4 linked regions of the Saccharomyces cerevisiae S288C genome follow. The protein of the gene in region 1 interacts with the protein of each later gene in a pairwise test. Each region holds a gene or a part of one and is shown on either strand. Other genes may lie near its edges. The genes, in order: RIO1, FMP33, AFR1 and MST28.

Evidence for each region.
Region 2: the proteins of RIO1 (region 1) and FMP33 interact in a two-hybrid assay, tested with the Saccharomyces cerevisiae proteins (one study listed by BioGRID).
Region 3: the proteins of RIO1 (region 1) and AFR1 interact in a two-hybrid assay, tested with the Saccharomyces cerevisiae proteins (one study listed by BioGRID).
Region 4: the proteins of RIO1 (region 1) and MST28 interact in a two-hybrid assay, tested with the Saccharomyces cerevisiae proteins (one study listed by BioGRID).

The regions. Positions count from the first base shown.
Region 1 is NC_001147.6:548,205-552,353, reverse strand, and holds RIO1 (protein kinase RIO1), read left to right. Parts: upstream 1-2,107; coding exon 2,108-3,562; downstream 3,563-4,149. Other genes in the region: PFY1 (profilin), read left to right, coding at 1-56; glycerol 2-dehydrogenase (NADP(+)) GCY1, read right to left, coding at 302-1,240; RTC5 (Rtc5p), read right to left, coding at 3,794-4,149. UniProt on the Saccharomyces cerevisiae protein: Required for the final endonucleolytic cleavage at site D converting 20S pre-rRNA into the mature 18S rRNA. Required for the final steps of cytoplasmic maturation of the 40S ribosomal subunit.
Region 2 is NC_001142.9:115,649-118,452, reverse strand, and holds FMP33 (Fmp33p), read right to left. Parts: upstream 1,209-2,804; coding exon 666-1,208; downstream 1-665. Other genes in the region: PIR5 (beta-1,3-glucan linked protein), read left to right, coding at 1-491.
Region 3 is NC_001136.10:613,731-617,994, reverse strand, and holds AFR1 (Afr1p), read left to right. Parts: upstream 1-1,844; coding exon 1,845-3,707; downstream 3,708-4,264. Other genes in the region: RRP1 (Rrp1p), read left to right, coding at 1-525; translocon subunit SSS1, read left to right, coding at 825-1,067; TVP23 (Tvp23p), read left to right, coding at 3,991-4,264. UniProt on the Saccharomyces cerevisiae protein: Acts in conjunction with the alpha-factor receptor to promote morphogenesis and adaptation.
Region 4 is NC_001133.9:186,491-189,487, forward strand, and holds MST28 (DUP240 family protein MST28), read left to right. Parts: upstream 1-1,616; coding exon 1,617-2,321; downstream 2,322-2,997. Other genes in the region: DFP2 (DUP240 family protein), read left to right, coding at 1-55; pheromone-regulated DUP240 family protein PRM9, read left to right, coding at 346-1,242. UniProt on the Saccharomyces cerevisiae protein: Involved in protein trafficking vesicle formation, probably by stabilizing of coatomer at the Golgi membrane and thus allowing the efficient formation of COPI coated vesicles.

The sequences.
Region 1 (4,149 bases):
AGGCCACCAAGATTGTCGAGCAATTGGCTGACTACTTGATTGGTGTTCAATACTAATTTATGCAGGTAAAGTTTTCTTGCCTTATACACCACCTATTCTGGCATCTGCGGGATTTCGCTTCCTATTTTACAAATATTTTATTGATTGACGCTAATTATCACTGTAAAAGGCGCACTTTTTATATGTAGTCACATCCGGTATTTAACATATTTACGAAACAGTCTTAAGAATATCGACATTTGATATACTTATGTTTAATTTATCTACATATTACAATCATACGAGAAACACGCAAAAACAATTACTTGAATACTTCGAAAGGAGACCAATTTGGATGTACAACCCTTTTTTCGCCCTTTTCCTTCGATATGTTATTGATAGCTTCAAAGTCCTCAGTAGACAAAGTAAATATTTTCCTGTTCGTTTTGATTCGATCGGGATTCACAGATTTTGGCAAGACAACATAACCTCTTTGGACGTGCCAGCTAATAACAACGTGTCCGGGTTGAACGTTATTTTTCTTCGCAATTTCAAGGATAACCGGTTCCTTCAATAGTGGAGCATCGGTACTACCTAACGGAGAATAAGCTTCAACCACAATGCCTTTACTTTTACAAAAATTAATCAATTCGTCTTGAGGTAGTAATGGATGTATTTCGACTTGGTTAGCAGCTGGCGTAAGCTTATTACCTTGAGATGCTAATAGATCTTTCAGGTTATTTATAGAAAAGTTGGAGACTCCAACGGCCTTAGTTTTACCAGTCTTTGGTAGTTCCTGCATTAATTCCCAGGTTTTGATGAAATTCCAATTGGTGATATCCACTGCACGAGAACCATCCTTCTTTGTTGGCACACTCAAGATGTCTTCATTTTTGATGTAGGCTGGATCTAATCTGGCAGGCCAATGCATCAAATATAAGTCTACGTAGTCCAATCCTAACCTCTTTAGTGATTGATCCAGCGCTACTTCAGGTTCGTGGTGTTGTGTACACCATAACTTTGTAGTAACAAAGATTTCTTCCCGAGGAACACCTGAATCCTTGATGGCTTGACCGACTTGGTCTTCATTACGGTAAATAGCAGCAGTATCAATGTGTCGGTAGCCATCTTTCAAAGCGGTTAAAACAGCCTTATAAGCATCGTTCTCTTTCGACTGCCACGTACCTAAACCTATTTGAGGGATTTGGGCTCCAGTATTTAGAGAAAGGATTTTCGTAGAATCATGTAAAGTAGCAGGCATTTTTCTATCTTAATTTAGTAATGAGAGCTGTCCAAATTTTAGCTTGCTAAGATGCACCTATTAAGCTCTCATCCTGAATCAAGTCATTAGAATGTCTTGATTCTCCCGGTTTTATACGCCCAGTAAAGCAATTCTTTACTGCCGTAGTCTTTTCCTGAAAGCTCGGTTTCTACTCTAGGGAATTAAGGAGAGCAGCGGTGTGCGATTCGTCACACGGGTGAATGCCTGATAGGCATATTATTAAGCCGTGTTTGCAATCTGCGTGCTAGATTGATTCTACCCCTTTCTGAGAAGGCGAAATGACCTTGCTATGACAATGAGGGAGAAAAGACCGCCCTTCCTTGTTCTTCCCCGGAATAGTCTGCCCCGATTGTTCGCCGGTGTTATAACTTACAATTCTTATACACTCCATAGGAAGTTTGTTGACAAGAGTTAAGTTTCAAATATCTAAAGCCAGGAAGTATGATCACCCAAGCATATCCATTGCAATATGTAAGACATTCAAGCGGATTTCTGGGACTTTAGAAAGTGAAATTTAAAAAAAAAAAAATTTAACAGAGGTCATACTTCCAAAAAAAAAAAAATGTAGAACTGGGCGAAATATCATCAGCTCATTCACTCTAATGCGGCCCTTCTGTAACCTCGAGCAAAGAGCCCAAATAACTTCATCTCTTCTCTCTTACGAACTGAAATATTCTCATGTTACCTATTGAGTAGTTGCGGGGACATTGGCGCGCGCAGAAAGAGTGAAAAATTTTATAGTGGAATATAGAAATTGAGATGAGATGAGATACTAAGACTAAAAATAATAGTAAAAAGAAGTTAAAACAGATTTAGAGATTCAAACTCCGTTATTTTTAGAAGGTCATGTCCTTGGAAGATAAATTTGATTCATTGTCTGTGTCGCAAGGTGCCTCGGACCATATTAATAATCAGCTCTTAGAGAAGTATAGTCACAAAATAAAAACTGATGAATTATCATTCAGCAGAGCGAAAACATCAAAGGATAAAGCAAATAGGGCGACTGTGGAAAATGTCTTAGATCCGAGAACTATGAGATTTTTGAAGTCTATGGTCACCAGAGGTGTGATTGCAGATTTGAACGGTTGCTTAAGTACTGGGAAAGAAGCTAATGTTTACCACGCTTTTGCAGGTACCGGTAAGGCACCCGTAATAGATGAGGAAACAGGCCAGTATGAAGTTTTAGAGACAGACGGATCCCGTGCAGAATATGCCATTAAGATTTATAAGACCTCTATCCTAGTCTTCAAAGATCGTGAAAGATATGTTGATGGTGAATTTAGATTTAGAAATTCCAGATCTCAACATAATCCAAGGAAAATGATTAAAATTTGGGCTGAAAAGGAATTTAGGAACCTGAAAAGAATTTATCAAAGTGGCGTCATTCCAGCTCCTAAGCCAATAGAAGTTAAGAACAACGTCTTAGTTATGGAATTTTTAAGCCGAGGTAATGGATTTGCCTCACCTAAATTAAAAGATTATCCGTACAAGAATCGTGATGAAATTTTCCATTATTATCACACAATGGTGGCATATATGAGATTGCTGTACCAAGTTTGTCGCCTGGTTCATGCCGATTTGTCAGAGTATAACACCATAGTTCATGATGATAAACTATATATGATCGATGTTTCCCAAAGTGTGGAACCTGAACATCCAATGAGTTTAGATTTTTTAAGGATGGATATCAAAAACGTTAACCTTTATTTCGAGAAGATGGGTATAAGTATTTTCCCTGAAAGGGTTATTTTTCAATTTGTCATATCAGAAACTTTGGAGAAATTTAAAGGTGATTATAACAATATTAGCGCCTTGGTTGCATACATTGCTAGTAATCTACCAATAAAATCTACAGAACAAGATGAGGCAGAAGATGAAATATTCAGATCGCTGCATTTAGTTAGATCATTGGGTGGATTAGAGGAAAGAGATTTTGATAGGTATACTGATGGTAAGTTTGACTTACTGAAAAGCTTGATTGCCCATGATAATGAACGCAATTTTGCTGCTTCTGAGCAATTTGAATTTGATAACGCTGACCACGAATGTAGTTCTGGCACAGAGGAATTCTCAGATGATGAAGAAGACGGCTCAAGCGGATCTGAAGAAGATGACGAGGAGGAGGGCGAGTACTATGACGATGATGAACCAAAAGTTTTAAAGGGGAAGAAACATGAGGACAAGGATTTAAAAAAATTGCGCAAGCAGGAAGCTAAAGATGCAAAAAGAGAAAAAAGGAAAACAAAAGTCAAGAAGCACATCAAGAAAAAATTGGTGAAAAAAACGAAATCAAAGAAATAATGCGGCCCTGTGAAAATACATTTGGGAATCGTTGTTTGGAGTCGAAGAACAGAAAGTAGGTCAGCAATTTAACGAAGAAAGTTCAAGACTAAAAGTGTAATATCAGTATCAAAAGTTTGGTACTTTTCATACAAGTGCAATAAATATTAAAATAAACAATAGCCTTATTTAGTGGTCTTGATTTTTAGTGAAATCAATCCCAATAACTAAAAACAGCAAAAAAGGCAGGCATCACATTGAACCGCCACCTTGATGTTGGCCAACTAAACCTGCCATTTCCAGTAAGGCACGGTCTTCTCCCAAGCTTCTCAGGTTAATTTGCTGTCTTCTTTTAGATTCTGCTTCTTCCCATTCCAACTGTTTGATTTGCTCTTCTAGTTCTTTCTCACCACCACAGCCCCATACCTCAACATCTTGAATCAAAAAATGCAATTCATAAGGGGAATTTTCCTCCTTTCTTTCCATCGACAATAAACCAGGGTCTAATGAACCTCCGTAACCAGTATTTCTAAACACAGCAAATTCTAATGTGCTGTCAAAAGTAAGCGACACGTTCCCTGGTATGTATCTCTTGGATGCTGGTTTTA
Region 2 (2,804 bases), on another chromosome or scaffold:
CAAAGTCCACAATTGCTGTTCCAAGTAAAACTGTAACTGCGACAGCAACTTCAACCGCAACTGCTGTTTCTCAGATTCATGATGGTCAAGTGCAAGTTACTATTTCTTCAGCCAGTAGTAGTTCTGTGCTTTCCAAGAGTAAGTTAGAGCCAACAAAGAAACCAAATAATGAAAAAGTGATCAAGGTGCAAGCCTGTAAAAGTTCTGGCACCTTGGCAATAACGTTACAAGGAGGTGTTCTTATTGACTCCAGTGGTAGAATTGGATCGATAGTAGCAAACAGACAGTTCCAATTTGATGGTCCACCTCCACAGGCGGGCGCTATTTACGCTGGCGGCTGGTCGATAACGAAGCATGGCACTTTAGCTATTGGTGATAATGACGTGTTTTACCAATGTCTGTCGGGCACTTTCTATAACCTTTACGATCAGTCTATCGGGGGCCAGTGCAATCCCGTTCATTTACAAACAGTTGGTCTCGTCGATTGTTGAATCACCAACATTATAATCTTGCAGGTCTTGATTGTACTTCAAAAATATAACTAAAATAATAGTATAAAAGTAAGTCTGTCTTACTATGTATGGGGCGCGTTATAATTTTACGTATTCACAAACGAGTTTTCATTTACTTCATCGTTTTTATTTTCGGAGATGTTGCCTTCTGCATTACTCAAAGCGCACTCCAGCTTTTTCCAGCTGTTTCATCCTAAGTTTAAGTGCCATATAAATCAACGGTGGGAACCCTAAAACACTAACGACACTTCCCTTATAAAGAATGGATTTTTTGCCTAAGGTGGAATTGCCTATTAGGCTCGAAAGTTGAATGAGAAACCCCCAAACAATCGAAAATTGAGAGACATCACTGTACGTCAAAGAATGAAGTACTTTATGGAGGTCACTCTTTTGTAAGTCAAGCTCTTTCTCTTGATAGGTATCAAGTGCTGGCTTGAATATTCTATTGGGAGCGTCATGGACTATATTTACAATGTCGTCTTCTGCGATGGCATGGGGATCTTCTTGCTCTTTGGACTTATTCAAGCTATTTGATTCTAGATATAGGCATGCCAGACCTGTCCCATACAGTGTTGTCACTAAAAGACTAGTGTACAAATTACCCTTCGAAAATAAAGGTTTTGAGCCAAGATTGGGCGATGTGCCTGAAAACTTGGTGAATTGTGAGTTGTGACGTAACAACCTTGTGTATAGCATATGAATGAAAGAACTCTATGATATACTTGATTTATTTACCTTGCATCAAGTTTTCGTTATCCGCACCAACTTAAACTAATTTTATAATATACTTAAAATAGACATTCAGGGGAGTATTCAAAAAATCACGGAGGTTTTTATCAGCACTTTGGAAGGGAGCAAAAGCAGGCAAACTATCTCACCAGAGGTCTGAATGGTGGACTGCGAATATCGGAAGATAGGAAATACAACTTTGTTGATTGGCATTCTTATTTTTAGGCTGATCTATTATATTTAGGCAGTTTATGTTCCTAAAAATACATGTCGATCATCTGCTCCAAGCAAATAAGCTATTTACTATGAAGAAATTTTTAAATTAATGAGGCAGAAGTTACGCATATCAGAAAGACTCTAGATGTTCTCATTGTAAAGAACAGTTTACACTTGGTGATACGGACTAACAGGTATTCATATGGGAAGATATGAAAATTGTGCAAGGAATACGCCGCCAGACTTTATGATAGATTAATGGCATCGGAGTTGCTGCACTGTAATTTTTTAAGCATCGTGGCAGCCCTCGGTTCCATCCTAGCGTTTATAAATATCTAATATAGAGCAAACTCGCAATATTCTGTAAACTATGATTCCAATGGCAGTAGTTATTACCATTTCTAGCGAAAGGATCACTCTAGACGATATAAGTTTAAAATTTGTTGATGTAATTAGAGGTGTAGTCGTCTAGAAGAAGATATGGCATGTAATGTTTTGAATTTACCTCATCTAATAGCAGGAACACAGGTTTTTTGCAGAACAGAGAGGCATTTCTGGTATAGTTAAGATGTGGGAGAGGGACAAAGGCAGATTTGGAGGTGCAAGAAATTTGTCGTGGTTAGCGACTAGCATTGTGTTAAGTTTCGCATTGTATTGATTTTATAAGGGATGTATTGCATTCGGCTAAGGCAACATTTATGGATAACGAAGTGCGGTTGAGTTCTGGTATCGGTTTTGAGAGAGTCTCTGTTGCTGTTAAGATTCCAATTTACATATCTGTCCTGCACAGGTTAGCGCTGCGGCGTTGCACAGGCATGAAACTAGGAAAACGTACTTTGGGCAGATTTGTAAAAAAAATTCTATCAAAACAACTAGTACAGAACAGTTGAGTTTAGAGCCGGTGTCTATTATCATATGGGAAAGATGATCCTCTTGTTAATTTGGTAAGTAGTACTATTAGGTGTTGAATATTAACCGTTTATAATCCGATATAGTGTAACGGCTATCACATCACGCTTTCACCGTGGAGACCGGGGTTCGACTCCCCGTATCGGAGTATTTTTTATGTGATTAGCTAAATAGTTATTTTTTGAAATAGTTTGTAGTAGTTCACCTTTATCCTATTAAAATATAATATCACACGAAAATTATCTGTTTGTCCTCAATTCAGTTGATCATTGTGCTAGATGTTCAATATTGTGAAACTTTTACAATACCGATTCGGTGCGGACATCTTGAAAATACAATACCGTGCGATGCCTTTAAACTTTTTTTGAGGCATGAGCGTAAATAGACCTGGAATGTTCAATATAGACTGTAGCAAAGTGCTTCTTCAGTTTATGCTAT
Region 3 (4,264 bases), on another chromosome or scaffold:
GTCATGTGCTTTGAATGGTTTAACATTGACAGATATAGGTTGGATAAGTATCTTCTATTGATAAGAAGGGTATTATTCAGTCAATTGAAGTATTTGCAGTCCAGAAACTGGGACAAAAAATTAGTCGACGAGTATATTAAGAAAGTGTTGAGGTGGTTACCTCTGAGTGGAAGTCCAAAGGTCTACACAGGGATTCCAATTCATATCGTCGATATTCTGCTGGACGAATGGGAAAGATTGCTTAAAGATGGAGATGAAGACGATGAAGACGAGGAAAACAAAGAGGAAGAGATGCGCAAAATTGCAGAGAGCGCAAAAAAAACGCCACTAGCCGATGTTATCGCAATTTTCCAAGATATCGTGGCAGATTACAATAACAGTAAGGTGTTGAGAGAGAAGATCAAAGAAGACCTATTCAGTGACACCAGACTTGTTTCCTGGGATATTCTTGAAGGCGAAACGCAACATAATGATTCCAGTAACGAATCTGAAGAAGAGGAAGAGGAAGAGTGGAAGGGATTTTGATTCTTCCTGGCGGTAGTATGTAAGTAATCGTAAGTCGCTCATATAAATTGTAGTTGTATATCTATAGTACGAAAAATTCATTACCCTCTGTGGATATTGGCGGAATGCGAAACACGTCGCCTTTTTTTCCTCGCAACATTTTTTTTATTTTTTTTTCGTTTTGAAATGAAAGAATACTAGTGATTAAATTAAACAAGGAAAATAGTACAGATTGGCGTGTATTGTCCATAACTCGTGTCCATTGTCCGCACTACGCTAGTTTACCAAAGATAAAATCACGTATAACATTGAAAAATAAAATGGCTAGAGCTAGTGAAAAAGGTGAAGAGAAAAAGCAGAGCAACAACCAGGTTGAAAAGCTGGTTGAAGCACCTGTAGAATTTGTCAGAGAAGGTACTCAATTCTTGGCCAAGTGTAAGAAACCTGATTTGAAGGAATACACCAAGATTGTCAAGGCTGTTGGTATTGGTTTTATTGCAGTCGGTATCATTGGTTACGCCATCAAGTTGATTCATATTCCAATCAGATACGTTATTGTTTAAAAGAGATAAAAGACGAGAAAAAATAAAAACAACGGCACCAGAACCAAAAATCAAAATTAAGTAGTATTCTTTATGTGCATTTTTCCCTTTAAATTATAACCTTTCTATCGGTATAGTGTGTATATGTTCAGCCCTATATAAGAATTTACTCTAAAGAGGTGGAAGGCAAGAGTCTTGATTCTTCCCATATAATATTACTGCATTTTCTGTATTAAACATGTTTTCTATTTGCCGAATAAGCATAAACGTATCATTGTTCCTTTCCCTTTATTTAAGCTCCATACCGATCATGGAAAAGCTCTCCAACGACCTTGAAACGAAAAACCGTTCCTTGGCGATATGACGTTTAGCTCCTTGTCAAATTCTTCCGTGCTACCACGTTGCTACCACTGATATGAAACAAGTACGATCCCTGAACGGAACAGCGCCTAAAAATAGATGGGCACTCACTTTTCCTTTTTCGCTGCCTCTTTTTCCCATGCATTTCCTTTTTGAGTAGTACGTCTTATTTTTGATTATATGCTCGACATACCCCAGGTTTCACAAAGGTTTGGCTTCCTTTTAGCACTTTCTCTCTCACCCTTTCAACAAGTTTATTGGGCCCGACTTACCTTGACGACTTTAATGGGACGCCTGCTAAAAGCTTATTCTACATAAATATATATACCGGCTTCATATAATATAGGAACAAAAGAAAAAGAAAACTGGAAAAAGGGAAGGGGCTATCTCATTATCCAGATAGGCCATATTAGGTGTTACCACAAACTGCTGATAATAATGGAGGGCTCATATCTATCTGCACAAGAAAACCAACCCATACCGGAGCGATTGATACCTAGGTCGAACTCAACTTCGAATTTGTTTGCTTTGTCTAGTACATTCTCTAAACTCAATGTTAGGAATGATGCTGATTACAATTATTCGAACCCGAATAAGAAGAGACACATTTATAGTGGCGAGATAGACTGTAGGTCTGTGACAGCAGCTAGAAAATTTCCAGTAAGGTCCTGTTCAATGACAGCCGCCCAGCAAAGAAAGAGAACTGCGCTATTCACAGTTAGGGAAAGAAACTCTTACCATGAGGGGTTCAATAATGATCAAGATTATGTGAGCCAATACCAGAAGCCACAGTACACTTTCGGAGTATATAAAGAATTAACACCTTATCAACTGCAGCGCTCTAAAATGAAAAGAAGCTTTCAATTTCCCAATGGCGAAATATACAAGCCAAAACTTGATGGAAAATGCACCCACAGCTTGAAAAAGCCTGAATTAAATTCAAGAGACTCTTCTTTATTCAAATTCAGCGAGAAGAAAGGTCGCAATTTATCAAAAGATTTTGTGGGGCCTCATAATGGGACATCAGTCATACATATTCCTCCCAATGATACAGGCTACGGTGTAAATAGCTTGGAGCTGAACACTTCAGTTCCTTCAACAATAAAAAGTTCGGTTTCATCAACCTCTCCGATATCTGCTGTTAATACCCTGACCAGCTTGCCAGAAAGTCAAACTGATGATGATGACGGTTATGAAAATAAAACTGTAACTATATCTTATTGCTTCGAAAATACGGTAAATGAAAAACATGGTAGCCATATAGAAAAATTGGATTTATCAACTAAGGAAAAAACTAAGCCAACAACTAATTCAGGCCTATTTGATAGAAAGAAAAAGACTATTCTGGGCACTGAGAAATATAGATGTATAAAGTCACAATCGAAGTTGAAACTGGGTTCTGTTTTGAAGAAATTATGGCGTACTTCAGGAAACTCGAATACAAAGCATGGAAAAAAGGATACAAAAAGAAGGAGAATTCCTATCGATGATATGGTTACGCATTCTGATGGAAATTCTGAAGCTGAGAATGATATTGAATTAATGGATGCAAATCTGGACGGCATTGAATTTGACGACGACGAAACTCTAATGGATACAGATTCAATTTTTGATGATCTGTTGTCCAAGGAAAATGATAAATACGATTTGAGGCGAAGGCAATTAGAAATACGACAAAAGCTCCACGAGACCTCGCACAACGACGATGGCAAGGTTTCTTTTCGAGATACCGAAAAGCATAATGTCAATGAAGGTTTGATCGACAAGACCATAATCGAAGAATTTTCAAAGCTCGGTGAATATATAATCGACACGAGAAATCAACCACCACCAAGATCGTCCAAGAGGCCTTCATTAGATGACAATGAATCTGCACGATACTTCTACAACATATCGACAGATTTGCGACAGTCTCTGTCAGGTCCAATAAGCTTACCAATGCATGTTGGGAACGACATGGTAAATAGGTTGAGAAATGACTGGGAGTATATCAGATTCGAAGATAGAAGGAATTCGCTGCCAGATTCCTCATTTGATAAAGTCGAAACACCTCCAAAACCAATAAAAAAAGATGTCCGGTTTGCAAAAGAAGTATGTTTAGCAAGCACTTGGTCATCGAATGCATATGAGAGAGCTAATCCGGAATTCATTATGAATCGCCACAGATTGTTGTGGATGATGAAAGTACATCCAAGCATGAATAGTGCCATGAATGAGATCAAACTTGAACTTAACTCTTACAAAAAAAATGAGATGGTTGTCCATGAGAACAGCAAGTGCTTTACACATTATTTAATTTGAGTTATTAACGTAACATAATCCAGTTTATTTTTTGCAATAGAAGGCGTCATACATATTTATATATCAATGTATACATTCCATTCCAGTTACTTCTTTTGCATCTTGCTTCCTGTTTACCTTGACCTCGAACCTATTATTTGTCCGCAATGCGCCTTTGGGTGAAAAGGGATTTCGTTTCCATTTTAACTGTACATAATGTAAATGTAGAAAAGCGTGGTTCTTAAAGGATTTACGGTTCAATACGCTTTTATAAACCTGCTGGTGCTCTAATTACGAATGAAACATGGACCAGGCAAGAAATTTCTACAACACAATTTTAAAATCGTCGCACCCGTTGCTACTATCATTTCATCTGGCAGGTAAGGCAGTTCCCATTGTATTTTATATCATAGGATCAATGTTTTTGAATTTCACACCTCAATTCATCACTGTCGTTCTTTTACTTTCTTTTGACTTTTACTTAACAAAAAACATTACAGGTCGGAAACTGGTCCAATTACGCTGGTGGTATGATTCTACAGATGTGAACAAAGATTCTAATTTTACTTTCGAATCAT
Region 4 (2,997 bases), on another chromosome or scaffold:
ATTAAATCCCGGAGAAGATTTTCAAAATTGCTTTCCAAGACAGCGGATATTGTAGAACAATCTCAAGTGAAGTATTGGCAAGATATTGGTGCAATTATTTGAAAGGAAGGAGAAATATTCTGACAGTACCTTGCTAGCAAAGGGATTTACCAATCCACTGACGCTAAAATGGGGTAGTAAATTAGATAAATTGCATTCTAACGTGACTTTATATAGTGGGAAACAGATATGTAGCACACAAAACGGCATGATTATGCTTAATTGATTCCTATTTTTTAACGTAAATACTCTCCCAGAACGATCAGAAAACTTAACCCGCAACCATCTTTGCTGTGCTAACAACTTATGTCGCCTCAATACCATTTTTATTTTGTATCATTCCGGAACTTAGTATTGAATGAAAAATGCCTCCGAAGTAAAAAGCAGGTGATGAAAAGTTTCAATTGGTATAAGACAGATCGCTATTTTGATCCGCATAACATCCTTCAACACCATAGCAGAGCTATAGAGAAGACAAGATATAAACTGGGCATGCAAACATCTTCAGAAAGTACCGACGCCAAGTCGGATTTTCTCGACGAACCCAGTGCATATTTAATTGAGAAAAATGTGGCTCTTCCCAAGGACATATTCGGTTCGTACTTAAGTTATTGGATATATGAAGTTACTCGTCATAAAGCGGCAGTAATTTTGCTCGTACTTATTGTGACTTCAATTTTATTATTAGTGTTTTTTTATAATACGGAATTTTGCGTTGCCTTTGAGATACTATTGTTTTCCTTTTGCTTTCCAGGAACATGCATGGTTGTAATTGCATTTAGTGAACCGATCGGTGATCGGGAATTTAAAGTTAAGCTTCTGATGGAAATTATCACACGTAAACCGGCGGTAAAGGGGAAAGAATGGAGGACAATTACATACAAGATGAACCAGTATTTATTTGATCATGGGCTATGGGATACTCCCTACTACTTTTACCGTGATGAAGATTGCCACCGTTATTTTCTAAGTCTTATTAAGGGAAGAACTTTCAAGAAGCAAAAGGAATCGTCAGCCAGCAATGTTAAAGACGCACAATCAAATGACGAAACCGCTGGCACACCAAACGAAGCCGCTGAGTCTTCTAGTTTTAGTGCCGGACCGAACTTTATAAAGCTCCTCACCAAGGCAGCCGAAATCGAACAACAATTTCAAAAGGAATATTGGCGACAAGAGTATCCTGGTGTCGATGAGTTTTTTTAGACAGAAGACGGGAGACACTAGCACACAACTTTACCAGGCAAGGTATTTGACGCTAGCATGTGTCCAATTCAGTGTCATTTATGATTTTTTGTAGTAGGATATAAATATATACAGCGCTCCAAATAGTGCGGTTGCCCCAAAAACACCACGGAACCTCATCTGTTCTCGTACTTTGTTGTGACAAAGTAGCTCACTGCCTTATTATCACATTTTCATTATGCAACGCTTCGGAAAATACGATGTTGAAAATGCCTCTAGAGATGAAAAACAATCGTAAAAGGGTCCTGCGTAATTGAAACATTTGATCAGTATGCAGTGGCACAGAAACAACCAGGAATACTATAGTCATAGGCAATACAAGGTATATATTGGCTATGCAGACCCCTCCAGAAAGTACCGACGTCAAGTTAGATACACTTAACGAACCTAGTGCACATTTAATTGAGAAAAATGTGGCTCTTCCTAAGGACATATTCCGTTCGTACTTGAGTTATTGGATCTATGAAATCGCTCGCTATACACCAGTCATGATTTTGTCCCTGGTAATAGGGGTTTTGGTTTTATTAATTATATTTTTTAATGACAACGAAGCTTGTGTTTTCAATTCTGCAATATTTGCTTTTACTTCTCTTGTAGGTTTGTTAATAATATTAAGTGATGGTAATCCAAAGCTAGTCAGTCGTCGAAATTTTAGGACCGAGCTTTTAGTGGATGTCATCACACGTAAACCGGCGGTAGAAGGGAAAGAATGGAGGATCATCACATACAACATGAACCAATATTTGTTTAATCATGGGCAATGGCATACTCCGTATTACTTTTACAGCGATGAGGATTGCTACCGTTATTTTCTACGCCTTGTTGAGGGAGTAACCCCCAAGAAGCAAACAGCCACGTCAATTGGCAATTCTCCGGTCACCGCTAAGCCTGAAGATGCCATCGAGTCAGCTTCTCCTAGTTCCAGACTGAATTATCAAAACTTTTTGCTCAAGGCAGCGGAGATCGAACGACAAGCTCAGGAAAATTACTGGCGAAGGCGGCATCCCAATATCGATGCGCTTCTTAAAAAGACGGAATAGCTTAGAGACACTACCATACGTAAAGCGAACATAAACTAGAGTATGATATATAATCAGCACTAACTGGCCGGAAAACGGCCGAAGGAAGCCTCGAAAAGTCGATTCGTGTTGGACCCATTTGCTGAACAAAGTGGTTCATTGCCTACCTATTATGGTAGTAGTCGTGATAATCGTGTGGTTGGTTTTGTCAACGGTGCATTTGCATTTTCATGACAATAAACCTTGCGTTTTCGTTCTCGGGATATTACTTTCCCTCCACTTCTTTCGCCTCAATAGCTCCTATAAGCATTCTCAGGGCGTATGTCGGTGATCGAGATTTCCAAGCAAGCTTTTAGTGGAAATCATCGCGCGCAAGCCAGCGGTAAAGGGAAAAGAACGGAGGACGATTACATACAAGATGAACGAATAAATAAATTAATAATAAATAATAATAAAAAGTACAGTAGCATTAAATATTATTAAGTTTAATGATTAAAAATTGGTTAATTGTCAAGAAAATCTAAGGTATTAATAAATAAATAATACTATGACAACTTGCAGCGAAAGCATCAGCCCCAATGAAAATTAATCAGAATTGAATCTGAGCGTATTTATTTGATAACGGTTTACGTAACTGTTGGAATAAAAATCAACTATCATCTACTAACTAGTGTTTACGTTACTAGTATATTATCAT